Linked DNA regions of Rhinolophus ferrumequinum. The protein of the gene in region 3 interacts with the protein of the main gene of each other region in a biochemical or structural test. Links are inferred from orthologs where the notes say so. Each region holds a gene or a part of one and is shown on either strand. Other genes may lie near its edges. The genes, in order: PINK1, UXT and FBXO7.

Region 1 (6,957 bases), on a different chromosome or scaffold from region 3:
AATCCCTGCAATTCTTACTGGAAGACTCTGTGTAGAAGACTCTTTGCTTCCAGCCAGATGGCTGCTGAAGAATCCAGCTTCATGCTGTGCTTGGTTCAGATCTGTCCAAACAACTTAGAGTTTTCTACAGAAGAAGTGAACCAGTCTAGTGCCATCTTGACCAAAGTCCAGCATTCTCTGTTGAACAAGAAACTACACAGCCTACAATGGTCTGGAGATTTGATTTCCACAGGTGGGTGGGTTAAGCATCACAGGTCTGGCAAGTGTATTTGCAGCTTAGAGGACTAAATCCAAAGGTTGATAACCAATGCACTCTTGAACTTAAAACAACTAATACAATGTCCCTTTAGGTAATATGTCTTACTATTACCAGACTCAGGCCCGGCACTGCTTGTCAACACCAAGAACCTGAATGACAACGGTTGATGAGAAGAAAAGCGTACTTTATTCTAGATGCCGGCAGCTAGCGAAGAAGGCAGACAAACGTCCAGAAAAAAAAACACCTTTTCGGAACTGAGAATAATCAAGAGGTTTTATAATCAAGCAGGCGGGTGGGGGAAAGAACAAAGAAAAGTGGGAGTTGGTCATGTAAATGTTTCAGGGCTGACAGTTGAGAAATTGCCTCCCAGGGCCTGGTCTGAGAAATCGCCTCCCATGGACTGGTCTGCTTCATAATATTATCTCGAAATCAGTAGCCGGGGCTGGAGTGTTTCGTGCATCATCAGCAAAAATTGCAAGGGAGTTGCAACCATGGATCCCGGTGTCCAGGCGGCAGAAAATTGAGAAATTGTTCTTTCCAGGTTAATGTTCTGCTGATTAATTAGATCAACAAGGTATGTATAGTCTTCAGAAAGGGAACAGAGCAGAGTTATTAAATCAGGCAGTGAGGGCAAAAACCAAAGAGAAAACAGCTGAATATCAGGAGGCTAAATAGCGAACTATGAGGAGATCCAAACTGCAAACTAGATAAATCTGTGTTATTGATTCCCAAGTTTCACCCTTACAGTACCAGCTATGTAGTTATCTCTAGCCTCATGGCAAAATGTTACATTCCTAGGAAAGAAAATTCTCGTAGTTAAAACTAAAGGTCTTAGAAGATCTCTTGTTCCCTCTCAGTAAACACTAAAGTGCTGTACTGATAATGACACATAGCAGATGAATAGACTTAAACTTTAAACGAGTCCTTTGCCCCAACTGAATTTCTTTCTAGACAGTGAAGTTTCTCTGATCCTCTCTTTCATATCTTTCTCTAAAGGACAATTTCAACAGAGCATTTTAAACTGTAATTTAAAATTCCCTGAGATCAACCAAAAAAAAATTAAAGACAATATCTGATTTCCACGTGCCTCTGTGTCAACATATGAAACGTCCAAATCTGTAGAGAATTTTTATGAGTTTATTTGGGCCAAACTGACAACAATTGCCAGGAAGCAAAATCTCAACGGATTGAGAAAATGCTCTGGAGAATGGCAGTTTTGCAGCTTTATTTTATACATTAGAATCAAAGGAGGAGACGTAAAGAGGGTTACATGAAATCCATTGGTGGTAGATTAAGGGGGCGGGAGAAAGCAAAGCAGGGAAGTCTCTGGGATTGGATAAAAAGTAAAACAGAGAGACATACTTCTTTTACATTGGTGGGTACAGGATAGTTCATAATGAACAGTTATAGCACATAGAGATGGTATTCGGGGAACAAGATAACAGTGAGGTGTTCTGTGGGTCTCTTGCTCTGGTCTGAGGGGTCTGGAAAAGGAGAGTACACTGACATTCCAAGGGCTCGTTATCTTAGGTGCAAAAAGACAATAGACAGGCTCACTTAAGGTAAAGATTGACCTTTTTGTCAAGGAAACTACAGGCATAGGACATGACTACCCATCATGCCTAGCTTTTATTAGGAATTTTTATATTCAGCCCATCCTGTGTAGTTACTTTCAGTCTTTGAGTTTGTAAGGCCTGCCATGCTGGCCTCCCCTGAGCTCGTCAGGTTTAGTGTGTGCCCTCTTTTTTGTCCATATCTGTAAATAAATTGGAAAGAAATTGATTTATTTATCTATTTATGTCTCTCCCAAATAAATGTCATTGGATATCACAAGGGCCCTGCAATTTCTCCCCATGAGAGCAATCAGAACACATACACATACACTGTTGAATCAGTTGTCCACCTGTCCCTAGCCAGGGATCCACCATATGACCAAGCAAGCCTGGGGGGCCAGAACTCTTCAGATGATCGAAGACTTCCTCCAGCAACAGCTACCATCTACATGTACTTCGATTTAGTATTTAAAGAGGAAGCAAGAGATGTGAAACTGAATATCAACAGGATAGTAACTAATATTATGGAATTAATGTTAATCTTTTAGAGGTGACACTGTTTATGATTTTTAAAAATAGTTCTTATCTTTTAGGTGCTCGTAGATACCGAAATGTTTATAAATGAAATAATACATCTGGGATTTGCTTTAAAGTAAGGGGGGGTAGTAGAAAGGTATTGTTAAAAAACAAAATTCAACCAAGTAAATCTGAAGATCTAATTGACTTTATTAAGTGATTCATGAATCAGGCAACATCCCCTCCAGTAACTAGAAGAGAGTGCTCCCAAGAGTTGTATAAAATGGAAAATTTTTACAGGAAGCGGAGTGGGGCAAGGAAGCTAATAATGGAAGAAAAGGATTATTTTGTGACAGGGACATCTTTTCTGTGGGAAAGTGAAGGGTTTTATTATGTAGATTGTCCCAATGGAGAGGGCTTACAAGTATGTTACCTTATTGGGGCTTGACCAGAAAATTCCATATTGGTTGATTATGTTTCTGGGAGAAGTCGAAACTGCAATTAGATCTGGTATTAAATATGGGTTTGGTATCATGGGCTTTTAGCATCAGTGATACCATGTGGGACCTGTTTTTTCTTTTCTTTAACAGTATAGATAAATAAACTAATGACCGTTTGTTGATAATTTGTTGAAGCAGGTGAATGTGTACATAGGGTTCACTATACTATTTTTGTGTTTGAAATTTTCCGTTTTTAAAAAAAGGCAAGAAACGGGCGGCTGGATGGCTCAGTTGGTTAGAGCGTGAGCTCTTAACAACAAGGTTGCCAGTTCAATTCCCGCATGGGATGGTGGGCTGCGCCCCCTGCAACTAAGATTAAAAACCGCGACTGGACTTGGAGCTGGGCTGTGTCCTCCACAACTAGATTAAAGGACAACTATTTGAAGCTGATGGGCCCTGGAGAAACACACTGTTCCCCAATATTCCCCAATAAAAATTTTTTTTAAAAAGGCAAGAAAAAAAGAAATCACTCATTATAAATCCTTTCATCAGCATTTCTAACAGTGGGTTTGGGTAACAGGGCTCTGCCACCAACAAGCTGTGACTGGGCAAATCCTTCCATGTCTCCGGAATTCAGCTCACTCATCTGAAAAATGTCGTTCATCTGAAAAATGTCGCCTTTGGGTGGGATTTCTCTTGGAGTACTAAGAAGTGAGCAGGGGCTGTGCGTTTGTAGAGAGGAGCTTAAAGGCATTGGGGAGAGTAAGGACTCAATAGTTATGGCAAATGAACTTGAATGTCACCTGATTGTCACTGCCCTTTCTATGAGTCAGTTTCCTTACCTATAAAAATGATATTCCTATCTTCTTGGTGGGAATATTAAATAAATTAACAGTTGTAAAGACTCTGGCACCACGGGTGATACTCAATAAACATTAGTTTTCCTTCTCAACTTCTCGACTGTTCACAATCTGGACCTGCCTGACACGCAACCCCTCCACCCTGGGTCCAAAGTGCAAAAGGGCAAGCAACTACCCGCAGCCAGGTGCGCGCACAGCGCCCCCGCGCGCCCAGCCAGGGAACCGCCAGATCGGCGACCCCGCCCATCGGCCTCCGCGCCTGCGCAGAGGCACCGCCCCAAAGTTTCTTGTTGTGACCGGCGTCCCCGACGCCTGCGGCTGCTGGTGCACTTGGTCGCGGCGCTACTATGGCGGTGCGACAGGCGCTGGGTCGGGGCCTGCAGCTGGGTCGGGCGCTGCTGCTGCGTTTCACGGCCAAGCCTGGCCCGGTCTACGGCTGGGGGCGGCCAGAGCGGCCGGGCCCCGCGGCGGCCTGGGGCCGCGGAGAGCGCCCGGGCCAGGCCGCGGGACCCGGCGCGGAGCCGCACAGGCTCGGGCTCGGGCTCCCCGACCGCTACCGCTTCTTCCGCCAGTCGGTGGCCGGGCTGGCGGCGCGGCTCCAGCGGCAGTTCGTGGTGCGGGCCCGGGGCGGCGCGGGCCCTTGCGGCCGGGCCGTCTTTCTGGCCTTCGGGCTGGGGCTGGGCCTCGTCGAGGAGAAGCAGGCGGAGGGCCGGCGGGCGGCCTCGGCCTGTCAGGAGATCCAGGTGAGCACTGGCCGCGGACAGCGAGGATGGAGCCCAGTGTCACGCTAGGAGCGGGACTTTAAGTCGATGGGGGACGGGGCTGGGGATGTGAGCCGGGGCTTGAGCGTTGTGAGGGGCGGTGCTAGGGTGTGGGCGTGGCGAGGGGCGGGGCTGGGGGCATTGACTGACGGGGGCCCTGGATCAATATTTATCCTTGTCAGACCCGGAAATTCCTTGCAAATCACCGATTAAGGCTCATTTTCGGTGTTAACTGATCTCCTGGTATGGGGCCAGCACCTCCCATTTGTTTTACTGTCTTCCCTTCCTCAAACAGCACGTTTTGGAAGATAATGCTGCTAATTACAGCTCCTGTTGCACCATTGCTAATGACTCTGCGTAAATTTTGTAAAATTTAATGACAAGTCACAACGCTTCTATCCCTGAGGTAGTGGTCATCCCCAATTTATGGATGAGGAAACGTACTCAGAGAGGTGAAGTAACTTGCCCGAAGTCACACAGCTAATAAAGAGCAGTGCCCAAAGTCTGACTCTCCAAGGCCTGTACCCTTAACCACTGAGCCAGTCTGCCTCCACAGTTTAGCCAAACAATTAGTGACACAGCTGAAATCAAAGTAAAACCATGAACAGCAGGAGAAAATAGCACACCTAACAGTTTTTAGTCAACCTGTGAGCGTTATTAGGAGAGAGTGAATATGTTATTAGGCTCTTTTAAATGCTTAAAATAGCCCAGAGACCTCTCTCTGTTTCTCCTCTACCAAAATCTGTATTAGTCAGCGTTCTCTAGAGATACAGAACCAATAGGATGTGTTTATAGAAAAAGAGGTTTATTTTAAGGAGTTGGCTCTGCAATTCTGGAGGCTGGCAAGTCTCCCAAAAATCGTTTGGGTAGGTAGGCAGGATGGAGACCCAGGGAAGAGCCATTGTTGTAGTTCAAGTGTGAAAGCCACATGCTGGCAGAATTCTCTCCTCTTTTTGGGAGTTCAGCCTTCTTCCTGGGGTTTGGAGCCACTGTTAGTACAACCCCTACAATTGACAATTTAGGGCTGAGGTGGTGGAAGATGGAGTCACTTGCCCAAGGACACCTCTGGTTAAGGACCAAGCATGTTTCCTGGTTTCCAGCCCAGTTCTTGTTACTCAGCCAGAATGTCTCATGTTTGAGCTCAGGCTAGTTTGGGACGACAGGTGACATCTGACCTAGTCCCCAGCCACTGTCCTTGTCTTTTGCTACAGCTTAACTGGCAGAAGCCAAAGGTGGGAAATTTGATAATCCTGCTTAGAATTATGGAGGCTTTTTTTTTTTTTTAACTGAGGAGCTTGGTCCTTCTGAGCTTATTATCTGTACATCCTTTTCTTACATTTTACCCTACTGTGTCTTAAAATGTTTAATTAGTTGATGATTAATATTAAAAATTCAGGTGTTCCACTTTTGAAAATAATCACCAGCGCTGGCAACTCTAATGCTAAAATTCCATATGGTGTCAGACCAGACAAAGTAAAAGAAAGGCTACTCCTTTTAGATGGAGGCATGTGGGGAAAAAAAAAACAACAATCCAGTTATAAAATAGGCAAAAGACATGAGTGTGTATTTCACCAAGAGGAGATACAGATGCCAAATAAGTATATGAAAAGATATTCAGCATCAGGGAATGCCATTAGGGAAATGCAGATTGAAAACACAATGTGATATCACTGCATACTTATTAGGACAGCTAAAATTTAAAAAAAAAAATAGTGATAATACCAAATGCTGGTGAAGATGCAGAGAAACTGGACTGCTGGTGAGAATATAAAATGGTACAACAACTCTGGAAAATAATGAGCAGATTTTTACAAAATTAAACATGCAGTACCATATGACCCAGCCATTGCAGTCTTGGGCGTTTACCCAGAGAAATAAAAACTTGTATTCACACAAAAACCTGTACACAACTTGCTGCTATCTAAAACAGTGTGGTAGTTCCCCCAGAAATTAAAAATGAAATTATCATATGATCCAGCAATTTCACTTCTGGGCGTACACCCCAAAGAATTGAGAGCAGGGATTTGAACAGGTATTTGTACACCTGTGTTCATAGCAGCATTATTCAGAATAGTCAGAAGGTGGAAGCAACCCACGTGTGCATCAATGGATGGATAAATAAGCAAATGTGGAATATACATACAATGTAATATTCACCTTAAAAAGGAAGGAAATTCCGACATATGCTACAACATGGATGAACCTTGGGGACAATATGCTAAGTGAAATAAGCCAGACACAAAAAGACACAGTCTCAGGCTTCCGCTCATCTGCGGTACTTAGAGTTGTCAAATGCATAGAGACATAAAGTAAAATGGGGGCCGCCAGGAGCTGGAAGGAGAAGGGCTGGGGAGTTACGGGTTAATGGGTATTGAATTTGAGATTTGCAAGATGAAAAATGTTCTGGAGCTGGATGGTGGTGATGGTTGTACAACAATGTGAATGTACTTAATGCCACTGAACTGTGCACTTAAAAATGGTTTTAATGGTCAGTTTTATGTTATGTATATTTTACCACAGTTCTTAAAAAATGGTTTAAAACCCTGTACAGAAATCATAGCATCATTC
Region 2 (7,902 bases), on a different chromosome or scaffold from region 3:
CTCACTGCTCCAATCAGGCTAAGACCATCTGGGACTAATTTGTAGTTTGACAGATTCATCCGTCAATAAGGGAGACCACACACCAGAGGAACATGGGGTGGCTCAGTAAACAAAGGAAAAGATAGAGTTTAGAGTTATATGATTCTGAGGAATGGTGAAGTTCAGATGAAATGTAAATAAAGCAGTGTTTTGATAAGCTCAAAGCAAACCAGGCTATATGTGTACTGCAAAGTGAACCCAGAGTCCTGCTTCCTTGGAAACAATAAAGTTAAGATAGATGTAGAATATTGTAGCTAGATACCCCTTATCTCTGCACCAGTGTTGGAAATCATGGCTGCTTCTTTTTGACCTAAGTGGCTTAGAATCTCCAGCAACAGTGGGATGCCTCATTAGTACATTTCAGACAGCAGTTTCTGATAGTAGTCTGTAATTGTAGAGAACAAAGTTTCTCAGTAACTAAGAGAGCAGTAGTCACTCATAGTAGGAGTTCTTTATGGCATTACAGTTGCAGCATGTCCTTAGGAGAAATAATGTTTCCTGTTAATTTTGTATCTGGCTTTATATCTGTTCTCCCAGTCTGATGAATGGCAGGGCAGGTTTTTACAGTCCGAGCTAATTTTTGCTTTCTTAGAGTGTTGGTCTGTAATTATCCCAGATTCTCTTTCTAACCCTATAGCCCTGCTCTGGGTGTTTGTTGAATAAACACATGAAAGAAGAAATGGAATCAGTGGAAGCACACTTGGCATGCATACACTTCTAATAGAGTGCCAGGAATCATTGTTACTGTTGTTGAGTGTCATAAAACTACTAGGTTATGTTTAAAAAAAAAAAGATAGGTCTATCTTTTAGACCATTTCAGAAAAGAAGGGAAGGCAGAGCCAATAAATATATGAAGAGATGTTCAAAGCCATTAGTGATCCAAGAAATGCAAATCAAGACATGTTGTGACATTTTACACCCATTCAATTTGCAAAAATTTAAGTCTGACAATACCAAGTATTGGAGAGGGTGTGCACCCACGGGATCTTTCTGCCCTGTTTAAGGAATGTAAATCAGTGAAACCACTTTAGAAAATATTTGGCATTCCCTCGTACAGTGAATATTTATATACCTTACAATCTGGCCAGTCCACTCTTAGGAATATATCCAAGAGGAACACTTGCACATGAAACCTAGTGTATGCATGGCATCCTGTTCACAACAGCAAAACCTGGAAACAAAAATGTATGCTCATCAACAGGAGTTAAAATGAATGAACTAGAACAATATGGATGAGCATTAAGGGGAAAAATCCTGTAATTCCTGAAAGATTATATAAAGCATACACACTTCTATAAAATTAAACGTTATTAGTATAAAGAACATGCACTACTTAGTATTTTGTGTAGAGGAAATAAAATTATATAAAAAGGAAATTTAAAAATTAATGAACTTGGGATTCAGAATGATGTTTACCTCAGTTGAGGGGAGGCAGGGCAATGAATTGGGGGACCACACGAATAGATGGAGGCTATTGTCAAGGCCTTTTCTTTTAGGTGATAGGTGCATACGTGCTAATTATATTATTAAAACTAACTAAATATTTCAATTAATTGGGAAAATTCAACCGTTTGTCACATAAATATCTTAATATAAGAAGAGAAAGTCTGTACGGAGAAAAGTGTTGTCCTTTCCTTGAATGGGGCAAGGAAATCTTTAGTCACAGACCAGAAATGCCACCTAGTGGTAGGATGAGCAGGGAGACAAGAGCTTTATGGTCTTGACATTTACTGAGGCCCCTGCCATATACGAGGTATGATCAAACAATACGGTGAATGCTGCTGCCAAGTGCCATCCAACAAAAAGGCAGCGATCTTCAATACCAGAAGTGGCGCGTCAAACCTTAGTAACAGTGTGTGACAAGTTTCAACTTGTTCGGTGCAGTCAGTGGGGTATGAGCTACAGTTGAGAGGTGTGTTTTAAAGTGTGCCGTAAATCATTGATCATGAACAACGCATGGAATTTTGTTTCAAACTGCAAAAAAAGTGCTAAAGAAACACACAAAATGTTAAAATTAGTTTATGGTTATGTTGCACTGACCATGATCTGGCTCTTCCCCAAAGTCAAAATGACCATGAAAGGTAAACGTTTTTGAATCAATTCAGGGTATCAAGGAAGCCACGGCAGCACAACTAAAGATACGACAGACTTCCAGAACCGCTTCAGAAAGTGGCAAGAATGATGGGATAAGTGTGTTCGAAGTGAGAGGGAATATTTTGAGGGGGATTAATTGCAATGTGTCTCTTACTGTAATACATTTTATTTAAACATTCACCATAGTTTTTTATCACACCTCATATGTTCTGGTTCCATGGCTCACTCCATCATGCCACTCACATATCTGTTCAAATGTCTTTTCTTCACATGTCTTTCTTCCCTGACCTACCCCACCACTGTAGCGCCTTGCCATGCCTTAGTTTTCTTCATAGCCTTCCTTTTTATCAGAAATTATCTTATTTATTTACTGTTTACTCATTTGTTTGTTCGTGCTGATAATACAATGATTTCTGCTTCTCACATATGTGGAGTAATCAACTGCTTTGTTTTTGGTATCTTTACCACACTTACAGAGAGCGTCAAAACACGCACACACACACACACACACACACACACACAGGATTCATTTTCCTAAAAGATTAGTAATTCCCTCCAAAAGACTCGGCAAGCATCCATCTCTGGATGACACAACTAATTATAAAATTGATTTGGCATCAGTAATTCAGGAAATGCTAAATAGATGAAGAACTTATAAGTATATAAGACTCTATTTGTTCCTTCATCAAATATTTATTGATCACCAGTCAATGCCCTTGGTACTTAATGTTTAGTAAAACAAAAGAGCCCCCAAACCTCTAACTTGTGGACCCGGCATCCTAGTGGAGGAGAGCTAATAAACAATATTTGTTAAAAGGGGATAACTGCTGAAGGAGGGTGGATAGGGCAGTGACATAAATTGGAAATTCTGGGGGACTGCCACTTTAAATGGGAAGATCAGTGTCTCCCGTTATCCATTTATACTCTACCACTGATTGTCCTGCATCCTGGACAGGCTTCATATCATTTCACCCATATACTTAGGTATAAATCTCTAACATATGAAGGTGCTTTTCTTCCCTTTTCTATTTCTTTCTCTCCTCCTTCTTCTTTTAATATAACCACAGTACCATCATCAACCCAACAAAATTAACGATAATGCTGGAAATGTTTTTAGACATGAATGTGTGCTAGCAAGCTTCCACAGATTCAATTTCTTCTTTTATTTGTTCACTCAACAAAAAATTATCCAATCCAAGGCTGTGGGAGAGTCAGAGGACTGTTCGGTAATCAGAGTCCAGCCCTCTACTGTCCAGAATGTTGAACTGAGGCCCAAAAGCCTGTGATTGGTCTAAGGGCACAAAGATAGAGGACACCAGAACTCAGGACCAGGTCCTTTCAAGAATCTTTCATCACCTGCTGGGTCAGAGGGGCCTTCAGCTGGCATGGACTCTCCTATCAGTCAACGAGGGCTTCACATTGGAGGTGTGTGGGCTGGGTTTTAAGATTATGTAGCAGTTCATCCATTGAAGGGATACACTGGATTGTTCCTGTGACATCTTCCAGAGGGGCAATGGCATCTCCATAATTTCCATATTTGAGGTGCTAAGGAGCAGCAAACTCGTTGTGGGGCAGAGTTGGAAATTTGTCCTAATGCAGTATTTGCATAATCGTTACTTAGATTTTACTTTACAAGGAACTATAAATAATAAAGTATCCTAGAAGATGCTTTTAGTGACACATTACATTAGAGAAAACAACCATTGGCCCTATCAATTTAAAACGTATTTTTATTTTTTTAATTTATTTTTTAATTACATTTATTGGTTGACAATGGTTAGTAAAATTACATAGGTTTCAAGTGTACAATTCTATAATACGTCATCTATATATCACATTGTGTGCTCACCACCGAGTCAGTTCTCATTCTATCACCATATAGTTGACCTCCTTTACTCCCTTCTATCACCCCCCCCCCTTATTTTTATTGATACCTGTTATCACTTCAGTTGGGTCGACCTGGCTACTGTGGGGGCTGATTGAGATTATGGGCAGGTTTAGGTCCTCATTCCCCTGCCTCAGCTCAGTGGGACTGGACGCTACCACTCCTACTTCTGTGCCCTCTCTCCTCATGGTATCTCCCAGGACCCGGACCTTACCGCTCCTACAGCATCCCTTCAAGAACACTCCATAGTATCGCCCAAGTGGGGGGGAGGTTCCATCGTGACATTTCTCCCCTCTCCTCCAGTGGTATCTCCCAGACTCTACTCTTCCTCTTTTCATAGTAAGGGCTCCCCCTCAACCCTGTGCCTTGTTATTAGGTACAGGTGTGTATATTTTTTTGGAATTAGGCTCTAGAAGTTGAGTTCCAGAGCCTAACTCCAAAAATGCCTGTCCACCAGGAAATTTACCCAAAGAAGGGCAGGCTACCTCTTCTCAGGGCAGCCCCACTGTTCTGCAGCGTGAGGCAGGAGGCAACGGCTTCTTCCACTGTACGGCTGGCACACCTGTCCAAGATGGCAGTGCCCACAGAGCAGCGCCGCTTGGGTGCAGCCATATTCCGATCTCAAAAAAGCAGCGGATGGCAAGAGAACTATGGCAGACGCCGGTGACTGCGCCCTGATGATTGCGCAACTCAACTTCGCAGGTACTTTTGAGCGTGCGCATCAGACACCCAGTCTCCCGCCAGGTAGACACCCTGGCGTTAGAGGTCAGAACTCGAAAGGGAAGCGTTTCTCAGGACCCAGGTGCTAGCGCCTGAGCCGTGCTGCGGTAATTTTGAAGTGGTTGGCTACCCAGGTACTGTGGGCTGAGTGATGGGGGCCAGGATCTGGGTCGATGGTGGGACTTCTGTGGTTTCAGTGATGGGGTCTTTTATATCGGATGCTCAGCTAATTATTAGTCAGCCTTTCTTTTTCTAATTAAAGCATTAGGACCATACATTTCCATCTAAGACCCAAAAGATATGTTGTATTGTATTATCGTTATTTCTCATGTCTAAGTATTTTTAAATTTCAGTTAAGATTTTTTCATTTCACACGTGTCATTTTGAAGCGCATTTCTGTTTGCAATAAACAGTACTACTGATATTGATTTCTAATCTGATTTCTCAGTGGTCAGATAAGTGAATTGTGTCATGAACATTCCTTGAAATCTGTGGAGACTTGCCGAGTGGCAAAGTCCTTTGTATCTTTCCATGAATGCTCCATCTATCGCGTCAAAAGAATGTGTTCTCAAAAGAAAAAAAAAAAAAGAATGTGTTCTCCAACTGTGAATTGTGTTCAAAATTTGTATACGCTCTCTGATTTTTTTTTCACTTACTCGTTCTGTATAGAGCAGCGTGATGGTGATTTGTGCATTTCTCTTTGCTTGTGTCAACTTTTGTTGTACTTGAACCTTATTATTAGGTACAGATGTGCATATTTTTATCATTAATTAATTAATTTATTTTTATTAGTTTCAGGTGCATAAAACAAAGTAATAGTTAGAAATTTATCATTTATATCCCACACAGTGACAACCTCCCTCCCCCATCAACTAACCCTCTGACATCGCACACAGCCATGACATTTCCACTGTCTCTGTTCCTAATGCTGTACTCTGCTCTCTTGTAAATATATATATATATATATATATATATATATATATATATATATATATATATAAAATTGTAGTTGACATTCATTATTGTTTAGCTTCAGTTTCAGGTGTACAGTGCAGTGATCAGGCATCTACATCATCCCTGAGGTGGTCTCCCTAATGAGACAAGTGTCCATCGGATACCCTACAAAATCTTTACAACATTATTGATTACATTCCCCAAATTGACTTTCGTATCCCCGTGGCAATCTTATGGTTACTGATGGTACTTTCTAATCCCCTCACCTTCCCTCTTATCCCCACCCCCCCTCCCATCTAGCAACCCTCAGTGTGCATATTTTTTTAAATAGACATTGCTAATGACTCTCAAAAATGTTATATATATATTACATGTATGCATATAATGCATATAATACATATAATACATATATGTGTATATATACATGAATGTATAATAAATATTCCACCAGAAATGTATAAATAACCCATTTTCCCAAATCCTCTCCAGCACTGGATGATGTTGTTCTTTTTCATTTTTTATCATTTGAGGGCTGAATAATTATATATAGTTTTTCTGTTTTACTTTTTCCACCTATTAAGTGAGGTTGAGCATCTTTTCCAGTTAATTGGGCGTTTGGATTCCTTCTGTGCATTTTCATATCCTTTGTGCATTCCTCCTCTCTCCCTTGGCTTTTACATGATAAACTTTCCTGGTCTCCCTCATTGAGTATTACTAGTGTCATATCTATTCCCATACATATTAAGATCAATTTCTGGACATTTTCTTATATTTCACTAGCCTATTTATCCCTGTTTTGATTGCATTAGTTTTCATTGTTAGCTTAATATCTGCTAGTCCCAGCACCCTCTCAGTATTCCCTTACATAATCTTCTTGGCTATTTATACTTCCATATAGAGTTTGAAATTGTTTTACCAAGTTGAAAAAGAATTGGAATTCTGATGGACACTTCATTACTTCAATAGAGTTAACATCGAAGCAGTGATATTTTTGTTTTTACTATATTCCTATCCAGGGATATGGTCTGTCTCTCCATGTACTTACATTTTGCGTTATATTATAGAATAACTATTAGTTTTCTTATTTTAAGTCGAGCATCGTTCTTGTGTTCATTTTTAGGTATTCTGTGTTTATTGTCCTTATTGGAAATAGGATATTTTTTCCCTTTTCTGTTTCAATCTGCTGTATTTATTTTCTTGTACCCTACCACCTTATCAAAATTCCCTGTGCTAGGTTTCTGACTATACAATGATGTCACCAGCAAATAAAAATGATTTTCTCCCCCTTCTCAGTATTTAGCCAGTTTATTTCATCTTCATATTTAATGTCATTAGCTAGAGCTTTGAAAACACTGTTGTGAGGGGAGCAACCCAATGTTGTTGCTAGTTTTAATGGAAACGTCTTCAGCATTTTACCTTCTAATGTTATGCTTCCTGATTATCTCCAGACTATGATCTTGGCTGAATTTTCATAGTTTCTTTCTAGCCTTGTTTTCATTTGAGAATTACTGCTGAATTGTGTCAAATACCTCTTTTTTCATATACATCGATACAATTGTGTTGTTTTTCTCCATAATTTGTTGATGTAATACATAAATTGATAATTGTACTAACATTAACCACCTTTGTCTTACTGGAAAACCCAATTTGGTCTTGGGATAAATTTTTATTTTCATACTAGCTGGATTCAAATTGCTAATATTTTATTTAAGATCTTTGCATCTATAAGACAAAATAATCTGCAGATAACTGCTTCTTTGTATTAGAACTATATATGTATTTTTTTTAAGATTTTTTTAAAGATTTTTTTTTTTTATTGGGGAAGGGGTACAGGACTTTATTGGGGAACAGTGTACTTCCAGGACTTTTTTCCAAGTCAAGTTGTCCTTTCAATCTTAGTTGTGGAGGGTGCAGCTCAGCTCCAGGTCCAGTTGCTGTTGCTAGTTGCAGGGGGCTCAGCTCACCATCCCTTGTGGGAGTCGAACGGGCAACCTTGTGGTTGAGAGGGTGCGTTCCAACCAACTGAGCCATCTGGGAGCTCAGCAGCAGCTCAGTTCAAGGTGCCGTTTTCAATTTTAGTTGCAGGGGGCGGAGCCCACCATCCCTTGCAGGACTCAAGAAATTGAACTGGCAACATTGAATGGCAACATTGTGGTTGAGAGCACACTGGCCCATGTGGGAATCGAACCGGCAGCCTTTGGAGTTAGGAG
Region 3 (7,300 bases):
ACGTTCCCTCTGACTTCATCTCTGTCTCCTATGCCACCTTTTAGTTTGCTTTCCAAGAATAGTTTTATTTATTTCTTCAAATAGGTTCCAGATATCTTCATTTGGTCCATGGATTGGATTTTAATCACTTCAACAACTTCTGAAGATTCTCTTTCTAAGTTATGGTTCTAATTTCAAGTCACAACATTTTTGAAAGCCCATTTCAATTTATCACCAAGCATAGGTACCTCAAAGTCTTTTTATCAGTGTTAAAAAAAACAACAACAAAAAAAGCCCCGAATAACCACAGCAAGACAACATGGTATAGACAAGTGGTTTCCAAAGGTTTCACAGTAGCATTACCTAGAAATCATTAAAATGCAAATTCTCAAGCCTGTTAAATTAGAAACTCTGGAAGTAGGACTGAGCAATCTCTCTTTTAAAATGCTCTCCAGGTGATTCTAAGATTAAAGACTATAAACTGTTGGTATGTAGATACAAGCTCAGAATCAAAAAAATGAATTGGATTTGTAAGAGAACACCCAAACTAAGGCCAACCTGACTTTCCCTGGTAGAGACAGAAGGAGGGTCTTACTTTTCCAAACAGATATATTAAGAACTCAGAGACAAGCATGAATGTATCACTTTAAATCTTGCTTTACCAGTCCTGACACTGGACGTGGGGGTTGAGGGTTGTTGAAGATAGATTGAGACCCGCCCTTTCCCCTTGAGAAACTCATAATCTAGGATTCAAGAAAACCTGGTGTACAAATAATTGCACAGTGATTGATGGGCAACATGGAAAAGTATGTTCCCAGTGCTCTTGGAGCAAAAGGAAGGAGAAACACACTCTGCTTAGAAAAAGGAAAGGAAAGGGGTTCCAGATAGAAGGGTTGGCACTGCACAAGCTCAGAGGCATGCAAATCCACTTGGTGGGAGAAGATACAAGGGGGAGGGGGAGGCATTCTGAAGTAGTGCAGTGCAAACAGACTGTAAGGGTCACTGGGCAGATTAAAGAAAGTGGTTTCCAGCTGGATTATGAAGGGTTTTTGTCAAGCGCCGAAACTGACTTCTATCCAGAAAACTAAAGGAAACTCAAGCTAAGAAAACAAACAACCCAATTAAAAATGATATAAACAATGATTGAATAAATAGAGAATAGATAAATCTCTTGTGCTGAAGAAATTCAAATCACTTATGTAGAGGCTTCACCCCTAAGGAGATGGAGCATAACTCCTACTCTTCATGTGTGGGCTGCACATAGTGGCTATTTTCCAATATTTCCAATGGGTACGATATGAAAAGGAGAAAAAAGGAGTAACTTTACAGTGGAGAAGCCAAGTGGTCGGGGTTCTCACCAACAGTGAGAAGCCACATTGATAGTATGTACTGTTGATATGATGTGATCGGAACAGCTCTTTACTACAATGGATGTCCTCCCAGGAGCTCATTCCCTCAGCCACATCATGAGAAAATATCAGACACATCCCAATTGAGGACCATTTTACAAACTACCTGAACATGAATCCTTAAAACTGTCAAGGTCATAAAATACAAGGAAAATCTAAGAAACTGTCACAACCAAGAGGAGCCTAAAGAAACATGACAATTAAATGTAATGTGGTATCCTTGATAGGATCCCAGAACAGAAAAGGGACATTAGGTTAAAAACTAAGGCAATCTGAACAAAATATGGACTTCAGTTAATAAAAATATGTTAATATTGGTTCCTTGATTATGACAAATGTACCATACTAATCTGTTAATAATAGGGAAAATTGGGTATGTGGTATATGTCTTCACAATAATTCTTTAACTCAAAAACTGTTCTAAAAAGCATCCAGGGAGCCAATGAATGGAGGCCCACAGAACATTGATATTGTCCTTTTGTGGTATTCTATGAAACGGTCTGTTAAAAAAAGGAATTTAAACTTCTGAGCTCTTTGAAAGTTGTAGTGCCTGTTGCTTGCAGACATTAAGATGACATCCTGCAAAAAAGAAAAAAAAAATCTCAAGGAGGGAGACGGTTGAGAGAAGGGGTGTGTAACATGTTCATGGACTTTTGAAGTTTTGGAGGCTAGTCCTCCAGAGTACCTTAAATCCTGGCAGTTTCTTGGGAATGCTCTGGCTCCCTTCTAGGATCTTCCTGCTCTCCTGTGATTGGATTACTTCTGCGATCCCGGTGTTTACAGTCTACTGGGCAAAGGATTGAGACAATGATCCCAGGTGGATTCGTTTTCTATTGTTGGAACAAATGACCACAAACGTAGTGGCTTATCTCACTGAAGCTTTCCAACACAGCTGTCTAAAATATTTTTGTTACTTTTTCATTTTTATAGATAGTAACTTATCCAGGTTTGCATAGTATTAAGAGGTGGACTGTGGTAGACGGTCTCCAAAGAGGGCCACCATGTCAACCTTGTACTGCTTTCTCCAAGAATGTTATTTCAGAGAGAAATAAACTTACATTTGTTTAGGTCACTATTATTTCAGATCTCTGTGAGAGCACCGAAGCTGCATTCTAACTAATACAACCTCAAAACATAGTCATTTTCAAGTTCTATTATTTCTACCTCTGTAACATCATTCCTGTCCCTCCCATTCTCTCCGTTCCCACTGTCATTCCACTCATTTCTTTCTTTTTCTGTTTCCAAAAGAGCCTCCTAACTGAGCTGGTCTCTAATCCAGTGGTTCTCAAGGCAATTTTGCCTCCTAGGGGATATTTGGCAAAGTTTAGAGACATCTTTGCTTCTCACAACTGGGCGATGGGGGTTCTACAGGCATTTTGTGAATAGAGACCAGCGATACTGCTAAACATCCTACAAGGTGCAGAATAATCCTCCATGACAAAAACTTATGAGGCCTCAAATGCCAGTAGTACTGAGAAATCTTGATCTAATATGTCCTCCACACTCTATCCGTGATAGGTTCACGTTTCAGATCTGACCCATGCTCCTTGTAGTGTACACCTGTCAGACGCATGGCTTCCTACCATCTTTTGAACAGCCTTCTTATATTTTGGGAAATTCCAATATTTTACGTTCCACTTCCCCAGGAAAGTAGTTTGGGCCTCAATTTCCAGTCTCCTTTGCAGCCAGGACTCAGGCATGGGACTTGGTCTTTCTCAATCAGATGTAGCCCTATGAACCTTTGATTTAGAAGTGAGTAAGCTGAGGAAAAAGGCTCTTTTGGAAACTTGGCATTTTGTTGGTGCAGGAGGCTGCAAAAGTGTGTGGCATTTGAAGGTGGCAGCCATTCCCCAGGGGTGATAGCAATGGCAGCAGTTTCCTCCAGTGCGGGGTGGGGTGGGGTGGCAGCAGCGATCCCAGTCATGGTAATTTCCTCATCAGGCCAGTTCTTCAGCATGGTTCTGAGCTTCATTCCTGGAAGCTTAGCCTGGAGCCACTTCTCCAGTCCTCCCCGGAATTTCCTGAGCTATCTGGTATCATTTTAACATGCTCTTTTCTGGCTTAGTGACCGGTTTAACTTCTATTGCTTAGAACTAAGACCCCTGCTAGATAAAGACGCCCCTACTTAAAACTCTCCAATAGCTTCCCATACATTCTAGAATGTGTCCCAAATCCTTCGCTTAGTCCAAGGCTATTTTGTATCTGGGGATGTACTCACTCTGTCCTTTACCCTGGCCACACCGAGACACCCTGATCCTGCCCCCTTTCCTCAATCCCATATTGTTTGCCACTAAAGAACCCTACTGGCACAGCAAAGCTCCTCAATATCTTTTAATCCCTAGGACTTTCTCTTCTCTCTTTCATAAACAAAGACACTTATTACACTCTACTGCAAGAGTTGATTCACTCAATTGTAAACTGTACCAGTAGGAACATGTCTTTTCAATCTTTGAGTCCCCAGCACCTGGGATAATATCTGGCACAAAGGTGATCAATACATTTCTTTAATGAATCAGGATGTGGGCAAGTACCGCCACCTATTGGGAGAAACTTTATTCAACTCTTAAGATTTGGACAATACAGGGATAAATTTTGGATACTTTTCCCCTCACCTAAGCTATCATCGTCGTCATTATTGTCAGGTCCTATATGGTAGCCAGCCTCCCAGATGGCACCCTGTGATCCCTGACTATTGACTGGGATTCATGCCTTAGGGTTGATCCTCCCACACTGAAGGCTTGGTTTGTGATCAGTAGAATATGACAGAAATGATGGTATGTGACCTCTGAGGCTAGATCATAAAAGACGTTGTGGCTTCTGCCGTAGTCTCTCTGGGGTCACTTGCTCTGAGGGAAGCCAGATGCTATGTCATGGGGACACTCAAGTGGCCTTACACGGAGGTCCATGCGGTGAATAACTAACCTCTCCTGCCAACAGTCGTGAGTGAGCCATCTTGGGAGTAGATGCTCCAGTCCCACTCAACACTTCAGATGACTGCAAACTTGGCCTACATCTTGACTGTAATCTCATGAGGCCAAGTCAGAACCACCCTGCTAAGCCAGGCCCAAATTCCTCACCTGTAAAAACTATGGGGCAGTAAACACATGTGGTTTTCAGCTGTTAAGCTTTGGGGCGATTGCTATGCGGCAACAGGATACTAACACACTCTCCGACACACGTAGATCACTGATCACAAGCTGGTTCACATTTTGCTGTAACAGGAGCAAATGACCAGAGCCTGAACTCAACCTTAGGCTTCTCAGAGCAGATGCCGCAGGAACTGAGCGCCGCGGCAGAACTGGGCTAAGAACCAGGCACACCTTAACCTGGCGGAGAGGCGAGGTGTGTCGTCTGCAGCATCCCTCTCAGCGCTACCATTCTCCAGGTACACCTGGAAGGCATGGGCACAGCCAAGGCGTGCAAGAACCTCGCGTGACACCCGCAGCCCGCGGCAGGCTCGGCGCCTGCGCAGCGCGCTCCTCGAGCTCCCAGGTGGCGCCGTTGAGCGCCGAGTCATCGATCGTCAAGTTCCCGAGCACCCTGGCTCCGGGCAGGACGCCAGCCGCCCGCTCGCGGGGTGAGCTCCAGAGGGCGCCCTCAGGAGAGGGGCCGAGTGCTCCGCTTCAAGAGACCCGCCCGCAGCGCGGCCGCCGCGGCGGGGCCTTCTCCCCGTTACCCCTCAGCACCCCTCCAGCACCGGTAGTCGCCGTTTCGGCGCCGCCGCCGCTTGAGACGGGAGCTGTCCGGCCGCGCCGCCGTCACCGTCGCCACCTCCGGGTCCAGGCCCTTGGGCCCCGCCGCCGCCGCCGCCATGAAGCTGCGGGTGCGGCTTCAGAAGCAGACCTGGCCGCTGGAGATGCCCGAAACGGAGCCCACGCTGGGGCAGCTGCGTGAGCACTTGAGCGAGGCCCTGCTGCCCACCTGGGGGTACAGGTAAGCGGCTGCGGCGGGCGCACGGCGGAGAGGCGCTGGCGCGCCTCGGGCTGCGGGAGGCGTGCCGGCGGGCGCGGGCCTGGCCGTCACGTGCGGCGGGCAGTGGCCGCCGCGTCGCGGGTCTGACGCCCCGGGACTGTGACGCACACAGACCGGGCGGAGAGCGGCGCTGGGGTCCCGGCTCGCGGAGAACATGGCCCAGCGTCGCGGGGGCTCCGTGCCCCTCCAGGGTGAGCCGTCGCTTCCGTTCTGGCAGTAACAGAACCCAGGAGTAGGCTAGCACGCGACACCGTTCCGCCCTTTCCAATGTAAAGTTGGAAATTATGGATTTGGTTTGGGTTAAACCTTTCCAGGCTCTCAGGGGTTTAAATTCACCAACTCCAGCTGATGGGGTAGTTAGTTGAAAAGTTTGGGAAGTATTAGGAGGAGTTCGCAATCGGCCCTCCCTCCGAGGCCATCTGAAACTTGTGCCGCCGCTGTGAGGCTGCAGTAATCTTAAGACTCCATTGAACGTTTACGTGCCAGGCGCCGCGGTGCCCACTTTGACTTACCCGCCGCAAAGTTTTACAAAGTGCGGCGCGTCGGCGTGTCTCAAATCATATGATTATCCTGGGCGAGATGCTGCTTTTAGCTAAAACTAAGGCAAACGCAGGCCTTATGATGACTCTGGAGAGTTTGCAGTTTGGGAGCAGTGACATTAAGAAGTAAAGGATCAAATTCTGTTATTCATTTATGGGGCTGCAGATGAGGCTGCTTTGTTTCCACAGGGTATTTTCTGGGGACAATATTCTGGGAATAGAGGGGCAAAAGTAACGGTGGCCCTCTTCAAATACGGAGCTAGAAATTTGGAATTTTGTACTAAGGAAAGAATAAAAAAGATGTTCGCTGGGGTTTTTTAGGTGAATTCTTCACAAGAAAACCTTTGTTATTTAAGTGGCTCTTTTTATAAGACTTTTACAAACTAAAATTTTATTTTTAGGAAATTCAATAAAATGAGCCATATTATGAACTTCTCACCCATTCATTTTTCAGATTAAGGCATTATTACATTAAAAATAAGCCTCATTTTTTTTTCCAAATTACGAGAAATAAAAACAAAATGCGGTATTGACATAACCCCTTTAAACATTATATTAAGTGACATACCTATTGTTATTCCTTGGTGTTAAACCTAAGTTGTTTTGCATGCTGGCATCACTACCCTTCCACAATTTTTCAGAATTAACTTCTCTTTTTAAGGTATTTTAATCTACATGTGTATATATTTTGTTATTTAATTAGGCTCGAAAGCATGTGAAACCCAATGACGCTTTGTTTACCCAAGGGCCCCAGTTAGTTTCTCTTTCAGGTTTGTTTTTACCATTGAGGGTGGTTAACTGGAAAGAATATAAACTTCAGCTTGTGAAAGGAAATTCACTCTTCTGAAGTATGTTCATTTTATGATAAATGGTCAGTTTTAAAATGTCCATGTGACATTATTTTTAAAATGTCTTTGCTGAGCAAGTAGATCTGGGGTTGCCGTAAAATATTTTAAAAAATATTTTATTTCCTGATGAACAAGTTTCTTTTTCTTTTTTTCCCCCACAATTTCAGAAAACTTTTTTTTAAAGCCTCTCCTGGAAAACCATGTATTATTTTAGAAATAGCTCTTCCCTTTTTCTATAGGGAGGAAGGCTTGACATTTTTATTAAGCAGACAATTCTTTACTTTTTCTATAAATAGATATTTGAATGAACGTTGTATTAAAAAAAACACAACCTTTTGCTGTGACAAATGATCCATAAACACGTAGTTCATTTGAGGTGTTTCTCTTTTTTTCTACCAAAGTTGGGGTGGTATTTTTCTGGGCAGCTGGCAGATTTCAACATTTATCAAAGCGTTTGAAAATAGGAGCATGTAGCTACTTATTTTCTAATAAGCAGGAATAGTTTCTAAAACCTCAGTAATTTTTCAACCAAAGACACTCTAATTGGTAAGAA

What was found.
Region 1: the proteins of FBXO7 (region 3) and PINK1 form a complex in vitro, tested with the Homo sapiens proteins (2 studies listed by BioGRID, with this or other methods). The link is inferred for Rhinolophus ferrumequinum from reciprocal best matches to the Homo sapiens genes FBXO7 and PINK1.
Region 2: of the proteins of FBXO7 (region 3) and UXT, one has a biochemical effect on the other in vitro, tested with the Homo sapiens proteins (2 studies listed by BioGRID). The link is inferred for Rhinolophus ferrumequinum from reciprocal best matches to the Homo sapiens genes FBXO7 and UXT.

The regions. Positions count from the first base shown.
Region 1 is NC_046292.1:13,915,588-13,922,544, forward strand, and holds the start of PINK1 (serine/threonine-protein kinase PINK1, mitochondrial), read left to right. Parts: upstream 1-3,931; 5' UTR 3,932-3,975; coding exon 3,976-4,371; intron 4,372-6,957. UniProt on the Homo sapiens protein: Serine/threonine-protein kinase which acts as a sensor of mitochondrial damage and protects against mitochondrial dysfunction during cellular stress.
Region 2 is NC_046284.1:86,243,411-86,251,312, forward strand, and holds the start of UXT (protein UXT), read left to right. Parts: upstream 1-4,857; 5' UTR 4,858-4,872; intron 4,873-7,902. UniProt on the Homo sapiens protein: Involved in gene transcription regulation. Acts in concert with the corepressor URI1 to regulate androgen receptor AR-mediated transcription. Together with URI1, associates with chromatin to the NKX3-1 promoter region.
Region 3 is NC_046293.1:13,034,774-13,042,073, reverse strand, and holds the start of FBXO7 (F-box only protein 7), read left to right. Parts: upstream 1-4,278; 5' UTR 4,279-5,199; coding exon 5,200-5,321; intron 5,322-5,425; exon of another isoform or gene 5,426-5,514; coding exon of another isoform or gene 5,515-5,551; intron 5,552-7,300. UniProt on the Homo sapiens protein: Substrate recognition component of a SCF (SKP1-CUL1-F-box protein) E3 ubiquitin-protein ligase complex which mediates the ubiquitination and subsequent proteasomal degradation of target proteins and plays a role in several biological processes such as cell cycle, cell proliferation, or maintenance of chromosome stability.